2 linked regions of the Tribolium castaneum genome follow. The protein of the gene in region 1 interacts with the protein of each later gene in a biochemical or structural test. Links are inferred from orthologs where the notes say so. Each region holds a gene or a part of one and is shown on either strand. Other genes may lie near its edges.

What was found.
Region 2: of the proteins of ric8a (region 1) and Galphao, one has a biochemical effect on the other in vitro, tested with the Caenorhabditis elegans proteins (2 studies listed by BioGRID). The link is inferred for Tribolium castaneum from reciprocal best matches to the Caenorhabditis elegans genes ric-8 and goa-1.

What each region holds. Positions count from the first base shown.
Region 1 is NC_087402.1:965,170-973,132, forward strand, and holds ric8a (synembryn-A), read left to right. Parts: upstream 1-3,213; 5' UTR 3,214-3,368; intron 3,369-3,419; 5' UTR 3,420-3,432; coding exon 3,433-3,507; intron 3,508-3,560; coding exon 3,561-3,700; intron 3,701-3,863; coding exon 3,864-4,281; intron 4,282-4,549; coding exon 4,550-5,138; intron 5,139-5,188; coding exon 5,189-5,412; intron 5,413-5,526; coding exon 5,527-5,703; 3' UTR 5,704-5,913; downstream 5,914-7,963. Other genes in the region: RfC4 (replication factor C subunit 2), read right to left, coding at 6,000-6,224, 6,282-6,896, 6,938-7,049, 7,096-7,187. UniProt on the Caenorhabditis elegans protein: Chaperone that specifically binds and folds some, but not all, nascent G alpha proteins prior to G protein heterotrimer formation, promoting their stability and activity.
Region 2 is NC_087396.1:19,004,661-19,012,177, reverse strand, and holds part of Galphao (guanine nucleotide-binding protein G(o) subunit alpha), read right to left. Parts: intron 4,320-7,517; coding exon 4,159-4,319; intron 4,103-4,158; coding exon 3,974-4,102; intron 3,653-3,973; coding exon 3,523-3,652; intron 696-3,522; coding exon 542-695; intron 488-541; coding exon 300-487; 3' UTR 1-299. UniProt on the Caenorhabditis elegans protein: Guanine nucleotide-binding proteins (G proteins) are involved as modulators or transducers in various transmembrane signaling systems. In the 1-cell embryo, probably together with gpa-16, controls nuclear rotation and spindle elongation during mitosis.

The DNA of each region.
Region 1 (7,963 bases):
TCAAAAATGACGTAGACATATCGTACACATCTTTGGAGTTTTTGCATTTTAAGGATCTTATCAGTCTTGTGACCTCTTCTTCACTAACAGGCGCTAACCAAAACGATTTTGCATTGCTTTTACACGCCTTGAGGAAATCACAAGGATCTTTGTCGATTTTTTTTATACTGTCTGACGTTTTCTCTCCTATCGTGGCAAAGTAGAGATTGAGTTCGTCGGCATTCAATTTGCATTCTTTGGTATTGCTTGTCTTCGTTTTTGTATTGATGATTTTCCAAATGGCTTTTTGCTTATTATCAGCATTGTTTAGGATATAAGCGTTGTAGTTTCTGTGGTTTTCTTCAATTTCTTGGAAGTAGCTGCGTTTATATGACTTGAAGACCTCAGCTGATTGTTGGCTTTTCTCAACTCTTGCTATTGTTTGTAGAGCTTCTAGTGTATTTTTCATACTCATGATTTTTTTACTAATCCACGTAGGTCTCTTATTGAATTTTGGTTTATTAATTTTTTCTTTTCTAGGGAAGAATTTGTCAAAGGCAGCTGTCAGAGTTGTATGGAAGACAGTGTAGGCCTCTTTTGCATTACGGTGTTTGAAGACACGAGCCCACTCAATTCCGGTTAAGTACTCCTTAAAGTAGTAAGTATTCTGTTCATTTATTCTTCTGTATATATGTTTTTCTGGTTTTCTAGGTTCTTGCACTGGGTTCTTAATCTTCAGGACTTGACAGTAGTGATCAGACATGCACCAACTTTTTGTCTCTTTTGAGAAGATTTCTTCTATGTTAATATTTGAAAATATATTATCTATGCAGCTAGAAGAAGTTTCAGTTGTTCTAGATGCCTCTCTCATTAGTGGTTGCATACCATATGTTGTGAAAGTTTCGATTAATAAAGATTGTTCGACGCCATCCTTGAGAATATTGGTGTTAAAGTCCCCAGCGACAATGTATCGTCTAGAGTGGTTCCTTTGTGTCAGGTTTTCTAGTGCTTCATTAATTTTATCTATGAAGTGCTTGAAGTTCTGATTTGGAGATCGATATACCGCCATTATTATTAAGTTTTTTGAAGGAATCTCAGCAGCTGAGATTTCTGCAGTGAATTCTTCACATAGGGGTCTAATGCCTTCAATATTTTTTGCGGAAATACCCTCCCTTGTTGCGATTAAGGATCCGCCATGCTGGTTAAGTGATCTGCTAAAGTGGCTTATAATATTATATCCTGGGATGGTTAAGCTTTCCAGGGTGTTGTCCTTGCACCAGTGCTCAGTGATAATTACAATGTCTACTTCGTCTTCTGTTAACTGTATAGTCAGTGCGTCTATTTTTTTCGATAGTGATTGTATGTTATAGTTTATTATTGTGGTTAGGTTTTCAAAACCTACCGATTTGTTGGGGTCTTCTTTTTCGTCGTTTCGTTGGTTTAATGATTGGCTTGTTTCGGGTTTTTTGTCCTGGACTGTGTTACCCTCCTTGTCAACTTGTTTTTTTTGCTTGTTGTTTTCTATCACCCTGTCAGATGGCTTGTTACTTTTTTTCTGAGCTTTTACGTTCGTCAGGTTTTCTCTTTCTTGGTTTGTGATGACATCTGTGTGTCCTTTGTTGGATCTTGTTATTGGTTTGGACGATTTGGTTTGTGACTCCGCTAACAGCTGATCTAACCTTTGTATTGTTCCGTTTTGATTTTGTATTTGTTTCAGACAGTCGTCAATTTTTCCCTTAAGGTTACTTACAATATCTATAAGGTGTCTCATCGCTTCCTCTTGCGAGGGTCTGATTCTGCAGGAGTCGCACACCCATTTGATATTTTCCTTGTAGTTATCTAGTACCTTGATTTCTCCAGGTTTGTATGGGCTGCATGCATAGTGAATGCATGTGTTGCACTTTCCATAACAAAGGATCACTTTGTCGATGTTTATATTTACTGTTTCACGGCACTGTTTACAGACGTGTGTCGTGGTCGCCATCTGTAGGTCTCGCAGAATGAGTAAAAAAAAACGTTCAAAACTAGTGTTAAACCGTGGGTAATAATTCCGGATAAAGAAGTGTTTTGGGTCGATTTTTTTAAACAAAAAATTTTAACACGAAAAAAGTTTGTATGGGACGATTTTACATAAGGTATCTTTGATTTTGAGACGCTCTTAGTAATTAATGTGCGTGAAAACATGAGAATATAAAGATAACACTTATTTTAAGCTGTTTTTTGAGTCAAAAAACAGTTAAATCGCTTAAAAGCGGCTTAAATTACATCAATTTCGGTCTAATTTTTAATTAAAACATTTTGACTACGAATATCTAAAGGTTAGGATAACAAACGACGTACAAATAAAACGTTCCCGTCCCCAATAGTTTCGTTAATGTCGCCAGAGAGCGCAGTTATCTAAATTTTTGAAAAAAATTGTTGTATTTGTACAACGGTTAACACATAGCAAACAAAAAAAACACAGCCAGATAGAGCATTAAATTCTCAATAGTAAGACATAAACATAAGCAAGAATTTTACTGTAATCTATTTAAAAAAAATTCAAAGTTTAACCAATTTGCTCTCTGTCCCATATTTTTCAAAACGCTGCGAATACCGTTACAGATACAAGAAAAATGTTAGAAAAAAAGTTGTAGAGAAGTAAATTTCCTACAAAAAAGTCCGCAAGACTAGTTCTCTATCTTCAACCATTTAGTCCCCAAAGTCGTTCAAAAACGCTCAAGCGCGGATTTGCTTCATTTTGTATTGGAAATTTAATTTATACTTAAACCGCTGAAAATAAAAACATAATTTTTATAATTTTTTTGTATTTCGTAAGAAATACAAAACTTTGCGCAAATTCTAAATTTTAAATAATTTTTTTCTCATCTTTCTTTCAGTTTTTCTCAAGTGCTACGACAACATTTCTGTATTTTTTCCAAGTAATTAGTGAATTGGTTGAATTTTTACTCGGCCGTACTATTTTTTTGGTACGTTTCGTCTCCTAACTTATAGTCCTCCGTAGACTCGATAAAGAAATTTAGTGCTTTTACAATTAACAATCAGAGGGCGCGACACTCACAACACTAATACGGTGATTGTATGTTTATAAAATTATTTTTTTAGCACAAGAAATCTATAATCGAGTTGCTTGAAATTCCAACTACACATAAAAACATCAAAAAACATTGTAATAAATGCTAGAACGTTTCGTAACAAAAAAAAAATTACAGGTTGCGCTTCTAAGTTACAGATACCTGTAAAAAAGGGGCGTCCAGTTTTGACGCTGTCAGTGCGCAGGTGTCAAAACTGTCAATTTCTCTAATTTTATCTGTGGTGTTTAGCAGAAAAACATAATTTGTGTGTAAACAACAAGAAAACATTCAATAAAACCGTAACGAAATATTCAGGTACGTTAACGTGGTTGTTGTACAGAAGTAACTAACAAGAGACACTAACAGGTGTTGAATAATAATGGATAAACATATCCAAACTATAATAAAAGGAGGAAAAGAAGCAGCAGAATCGCTACAATGTTTCGTTGAAGAGGTATGTATAAATATTTAATGACAGTTACAATAAACAACAATCTTGTATTGAAGGCTTCACAAGTATTCGAGTTTCCAGAACTCAATAAAAATAACCAACGGAAAGAATTATGGGAGGCATTATTTACATTGGCCAAAACAGCCAATAGTGAGATTACACTAATGAATTGCTTTATCGCAATTCGTATATTAAGGTATTTGCGGAATTATTCCGAAATGAATTGGCATATGGTAGCTAAATCCTAAACTATTTGATTGATTTGAGTTACCAACAGAAATTTAAATTTCCGTAGCCACCTATGCCAATTCAAATCAATACAATTTCGGTGATAATTCATAACATGCAAAAAATTTTAGTCGGGAAAAAATGGGTCTGAACGAGTTAATAACAGACGAATGGTTCAAACTCATGCAAAAACACTCCGGTTTGGACGATCCCCAGTACAAATTTGATGCTAGTAAATTATTATTGGCAATTGAAGTGGAAAAATGTTTATGCAATGTGATTTTCAACAGTCCTGTTGCTGCAGGACTGTGTTGCAAAAATGGTGTTTTGGAACAGTTAACTGAACGTATCAAAAATCCCCAAGAGAATAAAATACCGGAAGAAATCAGATTTTACGATGTTAAGCTCATTTTCCTACTAACAGCACTGTGTTCTGAAGTTCGCTCAAAAGTAAAGGAAGAATTAAAAGGGGTCGAATCTTTGCTTAAAATGCTAGATGAGATGCTGAAAGAAGCGGCCCAAGCATCACCCGAAAAAATTATTTTGGATGTAAGTATAGTTATATTTTTTTTAACAATTTATTTTGAGACACCCTGTATAATAAATTTTTTAAGACAACTTGTTGTTTATTCAATGAAGAATATTTCTTTGTGCAAAAACAGTTTGTAGGCATCGTTTTATTAATTCATTAATTAAAATAATTTTAATTATAAGGAAGTGTGGAAAAAATCTAAAAAAAAATCACATGTGTAGGGAAATAGTGGAAGATGTTTTAATAAAGTAATATTAATTATCTTGCTTGTTTTTTCTGTTTTAGGACCAAAAAGTGGACCTGGCTTGCGAAATTCTGAAAGCCCTATTTAACGTAACATTAAGTTACGGCATCTATGACGATAAAGAAGAAAACGAACAGTGTGACCATTTGGTCACTCTCTTAAGAATGTATCTTCTTGTACCAACACAAGATAAAGAAAAAGGCCTGGCATTAAAAAACAACGTAATCAATTTACTAACAAACATGCCTGATTCAACTTTCAAAAATCTGATAACACCTGTCCAACCTGGCCAAAACCTCAAACCCAAATTTCAATTCGAAGGCCAGAATATGACGGCTTTTTACGAAATCCTGATGGTGCTAAAAAGCAAATTTAACAACGTTGAAGGTGTCACAAAACAATACGAAATTTTGTGTCCTGTCGTAACAATTTTATTGAAAAGTGCAAACAGTGAACGTGCTATTCGAAAATATCTCCGTCTCCAAATTCTTCCACCTTTGAAAGATGTGCACAGTCGACCTGAACAAGGCTCCACACTTCGTAATCACTTGTGTCGGCTTTTAACCACGCCGATAACACAGTTGAGGGATTTGGTGGCCGATTTGTTGTTCATTTTGTGCAAAAAAAGCGGTAAAAACAATTCATTTTATTTATTTTTTAAATAATTATTATAATTTTAGTCAAAAGGATGATTAAGTATACGGGTTATGGCAATGCTGCGGGTCTCTTTGCCAAAAGGGGGCTCTTAGGGGGGCGCTCAGATAGAGGCGAGGCTGATTATAGTTCAGGTAGTGAGGGAAGCGAAACTGAAGAATATGCCGAATTTAAACATGGGATTAATCCAGTGATTGGGTGTTACGAAGAACCGCATCCCAACGCAATGGAAAATATGACAGAGGAACAGGTAATTTGATTTTGTTGAAAAAACGGTTATTGTGGCTCCTGGCGACCCACAACAAAAATTGTTTTTTTTTTTTGTTGAGGAAAAAAATAATCAGGGTAATTTTTTTGTTTGCAGAAAGAGTATGAGGCCATGAAGTTGGTCGAATTAATGGACAGTTTGACCAGATCTGGGACCATCCAACCATGTAGAGTAGGCGAGGATGGGAAACCTCATCCCATCAAACATGTGTTACAATTGCAGGAAGGTATAAAAGCGCAACAAGTCAACAATGACAGCGATAGCGATGATTAATTTATTTTTAATAAATAATAAATGTCGTAAACCTAGTCTGCATTTTAAAATGATTGAATCAAATCGTTTACTATTCTATTGTTTGTATTTTTAACGAAACGATGTTAGGAAAAATAGTGAGATTATTTCTTTATGTACGTATTTTATTTAATATTATTTATGTTGTGATACTTCCGTTTTAATGATCGAATAAAGTCGCACTGAATGTGATTTGTTTGTTTCAATATAAACACCAATTAAGTTGTATATTTTTTATTGAAAAACTTATTTAAATACAATAGCAAATTTTAAAGTAATCATTCACCCTTCACTCCTTTAGCTTCCATACATAATCTCGATATAAGTCCCGACATTTGCACCAAAGAGCACAAACCATCAACAATCCTCATATGTGTGACCCCAATTTGTTTAATAAAAGCAAGTTTCAAACTCTCCTCCATGTCCATATTTTTGCAAACCTTGAAAATATTCTTAATAATATCCTCGGCAGCGTACCCCAAACTCCACAAATGATCAACAATCTGCAACAAAACTCCACTAAATAACAAAAAAAAACACGTATTCAAATTGTTACCGACCTTGAACGCCTTCCTTACATCACCAGTAACACAACTGTTGAGCATATCTTTAATTAACATAGGATGGGGCTCATCGCACACTTTCAGCACATTAGTGGAATTAACAACCCCAAAGCCGTTAAAAGTCGACTGTAAATTATTCAACGCTTGTCTCATATCCCCCTGAGCTGTGAACACAATCGCCTCAAGCCCATCCTGCGTATATTCAACACTCTCCTGTTGGCACACTTGTATCACCCTTGCCAACACTTGGGCATCCGTTAAGCGGGAGTACCGCAAAATAGCACACCGTGACTGAATCGCTTCTATCACTTTTTCACTGTAGTTACAAGCCAAAGCGAACCGAGTCGTATTACTGTAAATTTCCATCGTGCGTCTTAGGGCTTGTTGCGCCCCTTCGGTCATACTGTCCACCTCGTCCAAGATAATGATTTTGTGGCGTCCAGGCGGGAGAGTGACTTTTTGTTGCGCAAACATTTTGATTTTGTTACGGACAACGTCTATACCTCTGTCGTTTGACGCGTTGAGTTCGAGAACAGCGTCTTTAAACGCTGGGCCTAAAAGGATTCGGGCCAGGCACAGGATTGTGGTGGTTTTGCCCACGCCAGGAGGCCCCTAGTTAATTGTGGAGTGGATAGGGGGAAAATTACACTTACGGCAATGATTAAATTGGGGAGGTTGCCCTGTTTGGCGATGACTGACAGGCGATTGGTGGTGTCTTCATTGCCTACGATTTCTTGGAAAGTCTGGGGGCGGTATTTTTCGATCCTGTTAACGAACTGTTAGAGATTGTGGTTGGAAGTGAGGGAGTTACCAAGGGAGGTTATCGGCTTTTTGTAACGGGCCTTGGCCGGGTTCGGCCGAAGGGCCCGCCTGTGGGGCTTCTTCTACTTCCATTGTCTCCATAATCAACTAACACAACGTATTGACAGTTTCCCTCCAAAGTTAAATTTTGTAGGTTAGTGTTCGGGTGTCATTGACATTGATTTGTGTGAAGACAGCTCCCCAAACCAGCTCCTCGAAATTCCGAAGAAACCCGAACATGAAGCCAGTTTCACACTAGCAAAATACGTTTCAATTTGCGTAGATGTATGTTTGGTTGTCAGCTTTGAAACCGTTTAATAAAATAAAAATCCGAAAAAACACTAACACCCTCTTAAAAATGACATTTTAAGAAAGTCACTTTGCTAATAGCGAAAAACTCAATTATTTACCACAAATTGCTTCATAATTTTTCCCACTTTTTCACCTAATTTCAATATTTATAGCTCCGCAAATGCACTATTGCAGTTTTCGCCCCATTTCACCCCGAAATCGGTTTTGTCACACAATGCCCTTTTGACCACCAATTCAACAATAAAAAAGATGTTTTTTTTAGAGTTTAGTTTAATCCCAAATAACTCGAGAACGGTACAGTTTGACGACATGAAGCAAGAGTACCTTTTTTATTAAAAAATAATTGGGCTTTTGATTTTTGACATCAAAAATACGTGTTTATAGGCCGAAAAATTGAGTTATCACCTAAAAACTGGAAGGGTCCCCTTGTCACCGGAAATGTATAGCTTTTACAAGATTTCCATTTACACCATATCAAAGAGCGTCTTTGTGTCTCTTGACATGCAAAATTTCATAATAATCGCATGAACGGTAACAAAAATATTTTCAAAAAACCATTTTTCCAT
Region 2 (7,517 bases), on another chromosome or scaffold:
AGGTCAAACAAATCGACAGAAAAATAAACTGTTTGTCAACCGATGTTATTATCAAGCACAGGAAAGCTACCCCTTGTATTGTGTCAACTCACCAACCAGGTCATCGATCAACAGAAAAGAACACATCTCACTCAACTTTGGTACAATTATAACAGCAAACGTTGCCGGGACTTCCCCTGGCCGAGAAATACCGCAACGTTTAGCAAATACACCGGCACTACCATGTCTGTTGTATTTTTTTGGTTTAACCATGTACTAAAGTCAATAATGTATGAAAAGGAATAGTAATGAGAGGTTTCTCAGTAGAGGCCGCAGTTGCGCAGATTATTAGCTATGATCACATCAGTGACTGCGTCGAATACGAACTGGATATTATGCGTGTCTGTGGCACAGGTCATATGGCAGTAGATTTCTTTTGTTGTCGATTTGTTCTTCGCTTCGAATTGTGCTTGGATGTACGCCGCTGCTTCGCCATACTCTTGCGCACCTTCAACAAAACGCGCCCTCAAAAATCATCACTCAACACAACCAAAACCCATACCTGCGTATTCGGGGAAACATATTGTTAAAGGCGACTTCCTAATTTTTTCCTCGAACAAGTCTTTCTTATTAAGGAAGAGGATTATAGACGTGTCCGTGAACCACTTGTTGTTACAGATCGAATCGAAAAGCTTCAAGCTCTCCTGCATTCGGTTCTGGAACAGAAAAAATTGATCACTGCAAAGTTCCAATGATAAAGTTAGAAATTAGGGAATAGAAACTTTCCCAATCAATAAAATGAAATATGGTATAACTCCCGTGACGTTTGTTTATACCCAGATACAATCATTTCGACTGATTATTATTAAATACGTTGACGTCATCGCGCGATGAATTAATTGCGACGAATGAAATTCAACATAAATGAGTAAAACACATTTGTCACAGAACTTAGTAACGCATTTCTTTGCGAAAATTTTATTATTGTGTGATTTCGGCGATTTGGTGGTAGAATCCACCCTCCGCATTCAATTTTTTAACTGGCTTTCAGGCTGAGAGCACTCGGTGCCACTTGACAAATCAAATTGAGCTATTTGGAGCTTGGAATTAAACGAGGAAAAAATCGCGGAATAATGTTGGAAAATTAATGCACCTACAAAAATAGGCTTCCCGGAAATTTTCCTTTGATGTAATGAAAGATTAAATTCCATTAAAATTGGTTTGACGGTTCTATTAATAACGTAACGAACAGGAAACTATTTGTTTTAAACCCACCCTTGCTATGTTAGATAACCACATTATGGAATATACTACAGAAGCGGATTAAGCGCCCCTTGTAGACTCGACGTCCCAAAACTTGAAGGAGTCACTCGTCAAAAAAATATTTATAGCGTAACAAATACACAATTATTATGCTTATTCAATTTCTTACAAAGTTTAGTAAAGTAAAGCACAAAAATTACACACAATTATTTTCAAATTATTACAATATTTTTCACATACCAAGATTCGTTTATTTAGAAAGTGAGAATTCGGAAATGATTTTATGTAGGTAATGGAATATTTGAGAGATTTTGAGTAAGTGAATCTTCAATTTCATGCGAATACCGGGGATCAAATAAATAGAGAAAACATTTCTTTTGCCGTTGCTTAGATCGTTACTATTCACAAAATTTTGTTATCTCTGCACTTTTTAGTTAATTAAAGTGTGTTCTTTTTTAAACGGAATTCCCCAAGTCAAAATTTTGGTCAAGACATTGTTTTTGTCCTTAAAAATTTCGTTAAATATTAAGGTTATGTTTTACTTTTAAAGTTTTGTTTAAATTTAGACTGTCCTTTGAACGCGTGCTTATCAAATACCTGAGGATAGATATATCAATACCATGTGTCCAATCATTAAACTCACTGACAGACGAATAAATTTTAATGAAAAAAAAGTTTATATACCGAAAAAAGTTGTTGGGTTTAAATTTTCTGTAATTAATTTGAAATCTAAATTAATCTTCAGCTTTACTTTCAAAATTAGCACAGTAATACATTTTCAGTTTCTTCATCAAATGCTGTGCAACAAGACATTCTTATTTAATTTGTCTATGATTTGTCTGCATTTTCGTCACTCTTTTTTATTAAAAATTGAAAAATGATAAAGAAATCTATAAGTATTATATATTTCGAGGATGGTCTTCATATGACTAATGCTTTCACATTCAACATTTTCTAAAATTGCTGTCGGTACCTAGTCTGTATTTTTGTGTAATACACTTTAATTTGTTTAATGGCATTTTTTTCAAAATAAAACAAAAACCGAAATTCTATTATCATTTTAATATCTTTTTTAAAATTACTAGAACTGTTTCACATGTCGGTCTATAAAAAAACCGTTGTCAGTTCCCCTCATTAAATAAACCATTCAGCAATTATCGTTGTTCAAATTGCAAATCTCATTTTGCAACTTTGAAAACGCTTACTAACTTCTGACACTTATGGTTAGTTTATAAAAGCGCCATTAATTTAATCTGCAAATAAATGCGTGATTAATTGATCATGTGACCAAATTGAACAAATTTGATTGGTCCATTCGTGTTGTTAACTTTTAACAGCGAATTAAATTTTAACAAAACTTTCTATAAACCGACCCTAAATGAACTTTAAATCAAAAACTTCTGCAAAAATCTTCGCCAATCCAAAATGTAGTCTTTTGCATTGCAATCCAAAATTCGTCATTTAATAAAATGCGACGAAAGGTTTTTGTGTCCTCTCTTAGTAATCACTAAAAAACACAAAAAAATCAAACTACTTAGTACCTACTTATACAATATGAAACTTTCATTTACACCTAAAGTTTTTAATTACTAAATAAAATTTGGTTCCGCAACTACAGGGTTTCGCGCATTTTAATTTCACCTGCTTATAAAAATTCGTTGTTAGGTAAAAGCAAGTACTATTTATTTTTGCGCGCATAGTGAATTAGTTGAAAATATATTTCAAAATATATAATTGTGATGTGAGAAGAAAGATAAACAGTGAATCAACAAAAAATGAAAAAAAAAAGATAAAAGAGACACTGCAAAATTAATTGGTGAATTTACTAAACTGAGTTCAGAACACAAATACAGGGTAATTTTTAAACAACGGCAGCCGGTGTAGAATTTTTCTTTATGACGCTGCTGGCGATTTAAAAAAAATGGATTATATTCAACTTTTTTATTTAATTTGGGACCCATTTTTTTCATAATTTGGAAAATTAGCACAGATATTAGTTTGTTTAGTACAGACATCTACAATATGTTCTAATTTTACTAAAAATTATTGTTTAAAGAACTTATCAGCAAAGTTGTATACGTAAAAATTTGATTTTTTTAAATTGTGGTTATAAATTTTATTTGTTATTTTCCTTGAAACGTTTAGTTTTGGTACTTTGTTACTAAAACTACAAACTTTTCTGATAACCCACTTGCTTCTTTTTTGGAGTGACATTAGATAGTGTTTATTTATTTTATTTATTAAATAAGGGCGCCAAAACTTTTTTCTGTGAATACTCACTGTCGTTTCATCCTCGTGCAGGACTTGATCATATTCGCTCATCGCTACGCAGAAAATAATTGCCGTCACGTCTTCGAAACAGTGAATCCACTTCTTTCTTTCTGACCTCTGACCACCCACATCGAATAATCTGTAAAAGTAAATTACACGATGTATTTACTTCACTGCGACACATAAAAGGTTCTTTGAATTCAAGCACATTTAATTCCGTGAGTCACAATGAAAGAGGCTCTGGAAATGAGTTGCTGCAGCAGATGCTAAAAACGTAGCCATTTAATATTTCAAAAGACTTTGTGCAATGGAAACTTTTGCAAACGGTTGTTTTTACGTGGGAAAACCCACGACAACTTATAAAATAGGCTTCGCTCTTTCAGCTCTTTATTAATAGAAACACAAGGAAAAACTTTTTTCATTTACTTTCGTGTTTATTAAAAATCGCCAACAAACTCACTTGAAATTGAGGTTTTTAAACGAGAAATGCACTTCGACGATCCCCGTCGTTTTGACTCTTGTGCGGAGGATGTCCTGTTCCGTAGGTTGATAGTCTTTGGCACCTAATCGGTCCAGATCGTCCAGGAAACTGGAAAAAAAACGTCGTGGGTAATACCTTACCCTGAATGGTCGATTTTTGCTTACTATTTAGCGGAATCGTTCAGTTGGTATTCGTTGGAACGACCGAAACATTCTTGAACCCCCGAATCAGCCCATAACCGCTTCATGGCGGCGAGGAGTTCTTCGGAAAAAGGTTCCGTGTCTTCCATCCTTTGGATAACGTCGAAAACCATTTTACCATCGATCTGTTGGCGAAATTCACATTTTATATTCGATCAGCAACAGGTAACAAGGTCATTGAAGCCTGCCCTTTTTGGCTACGGTGAATGAACGTGCACTTTAAAATAAACTTTGACTTAATCCGCAAGTGGTCTCGTTTAACATTAACCCGAAACAAAAAAAAGCTTGCTATAATACTCCAGTAAACGAAGTTAGTAACACAGATTTGTTTGTTACTATACAGACTGTTCCGTCTGAACCGTACATTAGAAGTACAGAAAGTTCTGATAATTATATAAATCTGAAAATTGGTGCACACCCTAAGCCGTTGGAAGTCCGTATTAACTTTCTTATTTTAAAGATATGTTTTTTACTTTCGTCAGATTTTCCAATAACTAAATTTAGCGTTTTTCGAAATATTTAAAAATCTTTGTAAATTTTTGTTTTTGCACCTTTCACTTAAAAAATCGTCAATTCTGCTATTTTTAGAATTTTAAAAAACGTTTTCGAAAAATCAAAACAGAAAGCCTATATCTTTCCTTCAGTGTGTTCAAAATTAGAAAAAAAGTTTACGAACTCCAAAATTTTAATGTTATTTTTGCACAACTTCAACAAGCTATAAGGCAATTTTTTCAAATGGAATGCCTCAATTTTTATTTTACTACTTCAGATATCTATTAATATCCATTTATGACAATTTTCAAGTTATGTTGATTTATTTACTTTGACTTTTGACAATGTCGGAAATTCCTTACTAGCCACAGATATTTTTGTAGAGTTTAACAAAGAAACATTTCTCATTGAATAAACGATAAGTTCTGCTGATAATTTTGCTTTCCTTTCCGTAAAAACAAAATATTAGCTGTTTCAAAGCTATAAAAACGCCAACGTCGCATTTTCTCTCAAAATTAGCTGTTATAAATTATTTATTCATCGATACTGTCAAAATTTCCGGTTTTTCTCCTGTGTAAAACAGTTTTGATAACTGTTTGGCATTTCTCGACACGAAACGTCAGAATATTTTAACAGATTTAAAGCAATTTTAAGCCTTGTTGAGTCTAATTCGAAGAATAAAATGTCGTATTCGACTCTTTTTCTTGTAAATCGGTTCACTCATTTCATCTCGTAGATGATAAACCACTCATTTTGACTCGTGGTTTGATAATTCATTCGTGAAATAAAACGTCCGATTTACACTCAAACTAGTTAAATAATAGTATATTAAAAAACTAGTTTCATAAGACCAAAGCACGAATTCAGTTTTTGAAAGAATAAGTGCTCTAAGGTCTTATGAAACGAGTTTTTTATACTATTATTTGTAATTTGACCCCTTTTTGCCGTTTTTAAACAAAAATTGTTATTTTAGTCGATTTAGGGATTTTTGTGATTGTTGGTAATATCTCAATTTTTAAAGTGAAAAATTGATTTAAAATTTTTGTTTTATCAAATTTGTGAAATTCACAAAAATACGGTCCCGATTTTGCTTCTTGCCAACCCAAAAATTTTCGTAAAATGTTCCGTCAAATAATGACTATTATAACAACGCATCAAAATGGCGGTAAATTACAAAAATAACTATTATGCGCTTCAAAAAAAAATAGCTTATGTAATTTACACTCTGAAGCAGAGATCTAATAGTCATTAATAACTATTTTACAATTTTATCAATCTTATTTCAAAAAAATAATTTGGCAAAATTCGACGTTGGCGTTTTTATAGCTATGAAAGAGCTTATATATTTATTGAAATTAGATTTGGAAAACTTTGATTTCTTACTAACGTTTCCTTGACAACCTATGCGAAAAGAGCTATGGCTAATGAATTTCTCAGTGCCAGCAAAAAGTTAAGACGTTTCAAAATTAGCAAACTTCATTTTTAAAATTTGGAGTTTGCTAACTTTTTTTAAAAATTCAAAAATCCCAAAGAAACCTCTTTCAAAAAAGCCAAAAAAGATTTCAAATTTTTTAAAACCGGCAGAGTTACCGGTTTTTGAAGAGTCAAAAAAGAAAATCCAAACATTTTCAAAAAATCCTAAATATTTAAAAAACCAATAAATTTAGGAATAGGAAAAACTAATAGAAACTCCCTTAAAATAACTCAATAATCCAAAAATGTAGTAAAAAACATAGTTTTCCATTTAAAATAAGAAAGTTGATAACGACTTTCGGTATAACCATGCCTCCATGTTGAAAATATTTTCATTGAACAGAACCTAACAAATTATGGTTGTCAGCAAATTTTCAGATGACTACCATTATTAGAACTCACAATACTTCTAAATGGGAGGTTTAGATGAAACAGCTGTAGCTAGTATGGATACAGTTTAAATATTATAAAACTATTCACCAAAAATTGAAATTTGGTATATGCTTAAGAGTATATAAATTGTATCATTTCAAATGACTATCAAATTTATTTCTCTATTTGTTCTTAGGATACGAACCTAATACATAAAAAGTCGTTAGCCTTTGAAATGTTATCTTTATTTGTTGCTAGCTTTTTGCCGCTTAAACATTGACTAAAAAATAAGTAAATAATAAAATAAATAAAATAAAATAATAAATAAGTTAATAATAGTTGCTAAAATACCACATCTAACTGAACAAGAAAACATTTTAATAACAAAAAACATGAAAAACGTGATTTTTATGCTACAAGAGATGTTCAAAATGATTTCCACTGACTTCTTGGCTTTCTGTCACCATGACCAACCAACATGAAAATTTTTTTCGTTCAGTCTCACGTAAATGTATTACTTAACTATTGCACACAAGTTTAATTTTTGGATAATTAATTTTCAAAACAAAAAGTTTTACTTTTCTAGAAATCCAGAATAAAATTTTTGCATTTAATTTATTTTTTTACTTTTTAATAAAAATAAAGGTGGGTATTAAGTTACATCACCAAATTCAGAAAAAAATGTTCTTTTAAAAAATCAAGTTAGCGTTGTATTTTCAAAATAAATGTCGATAAAAAATTTAAAACGTTCTTAGATGAGAATTGAAACAAATTTTCTGCTCTGTTAAACCGTTCTGAAAATATTTAACTGTACCCATACTTTTTAGCGATCCTGTATTTACAGTTCACATGAATAATTGTTGCTTAATCATAGGCCACGCCTAAGCGGTGTGAAAAATCACGTCGGTGTGATAAATGTGCAGTTTTCAGCCGTAGGTCGAATAAAATCCTTGGGCCCTTCGTTCGCTTGCGCCGGCTCAAACCTT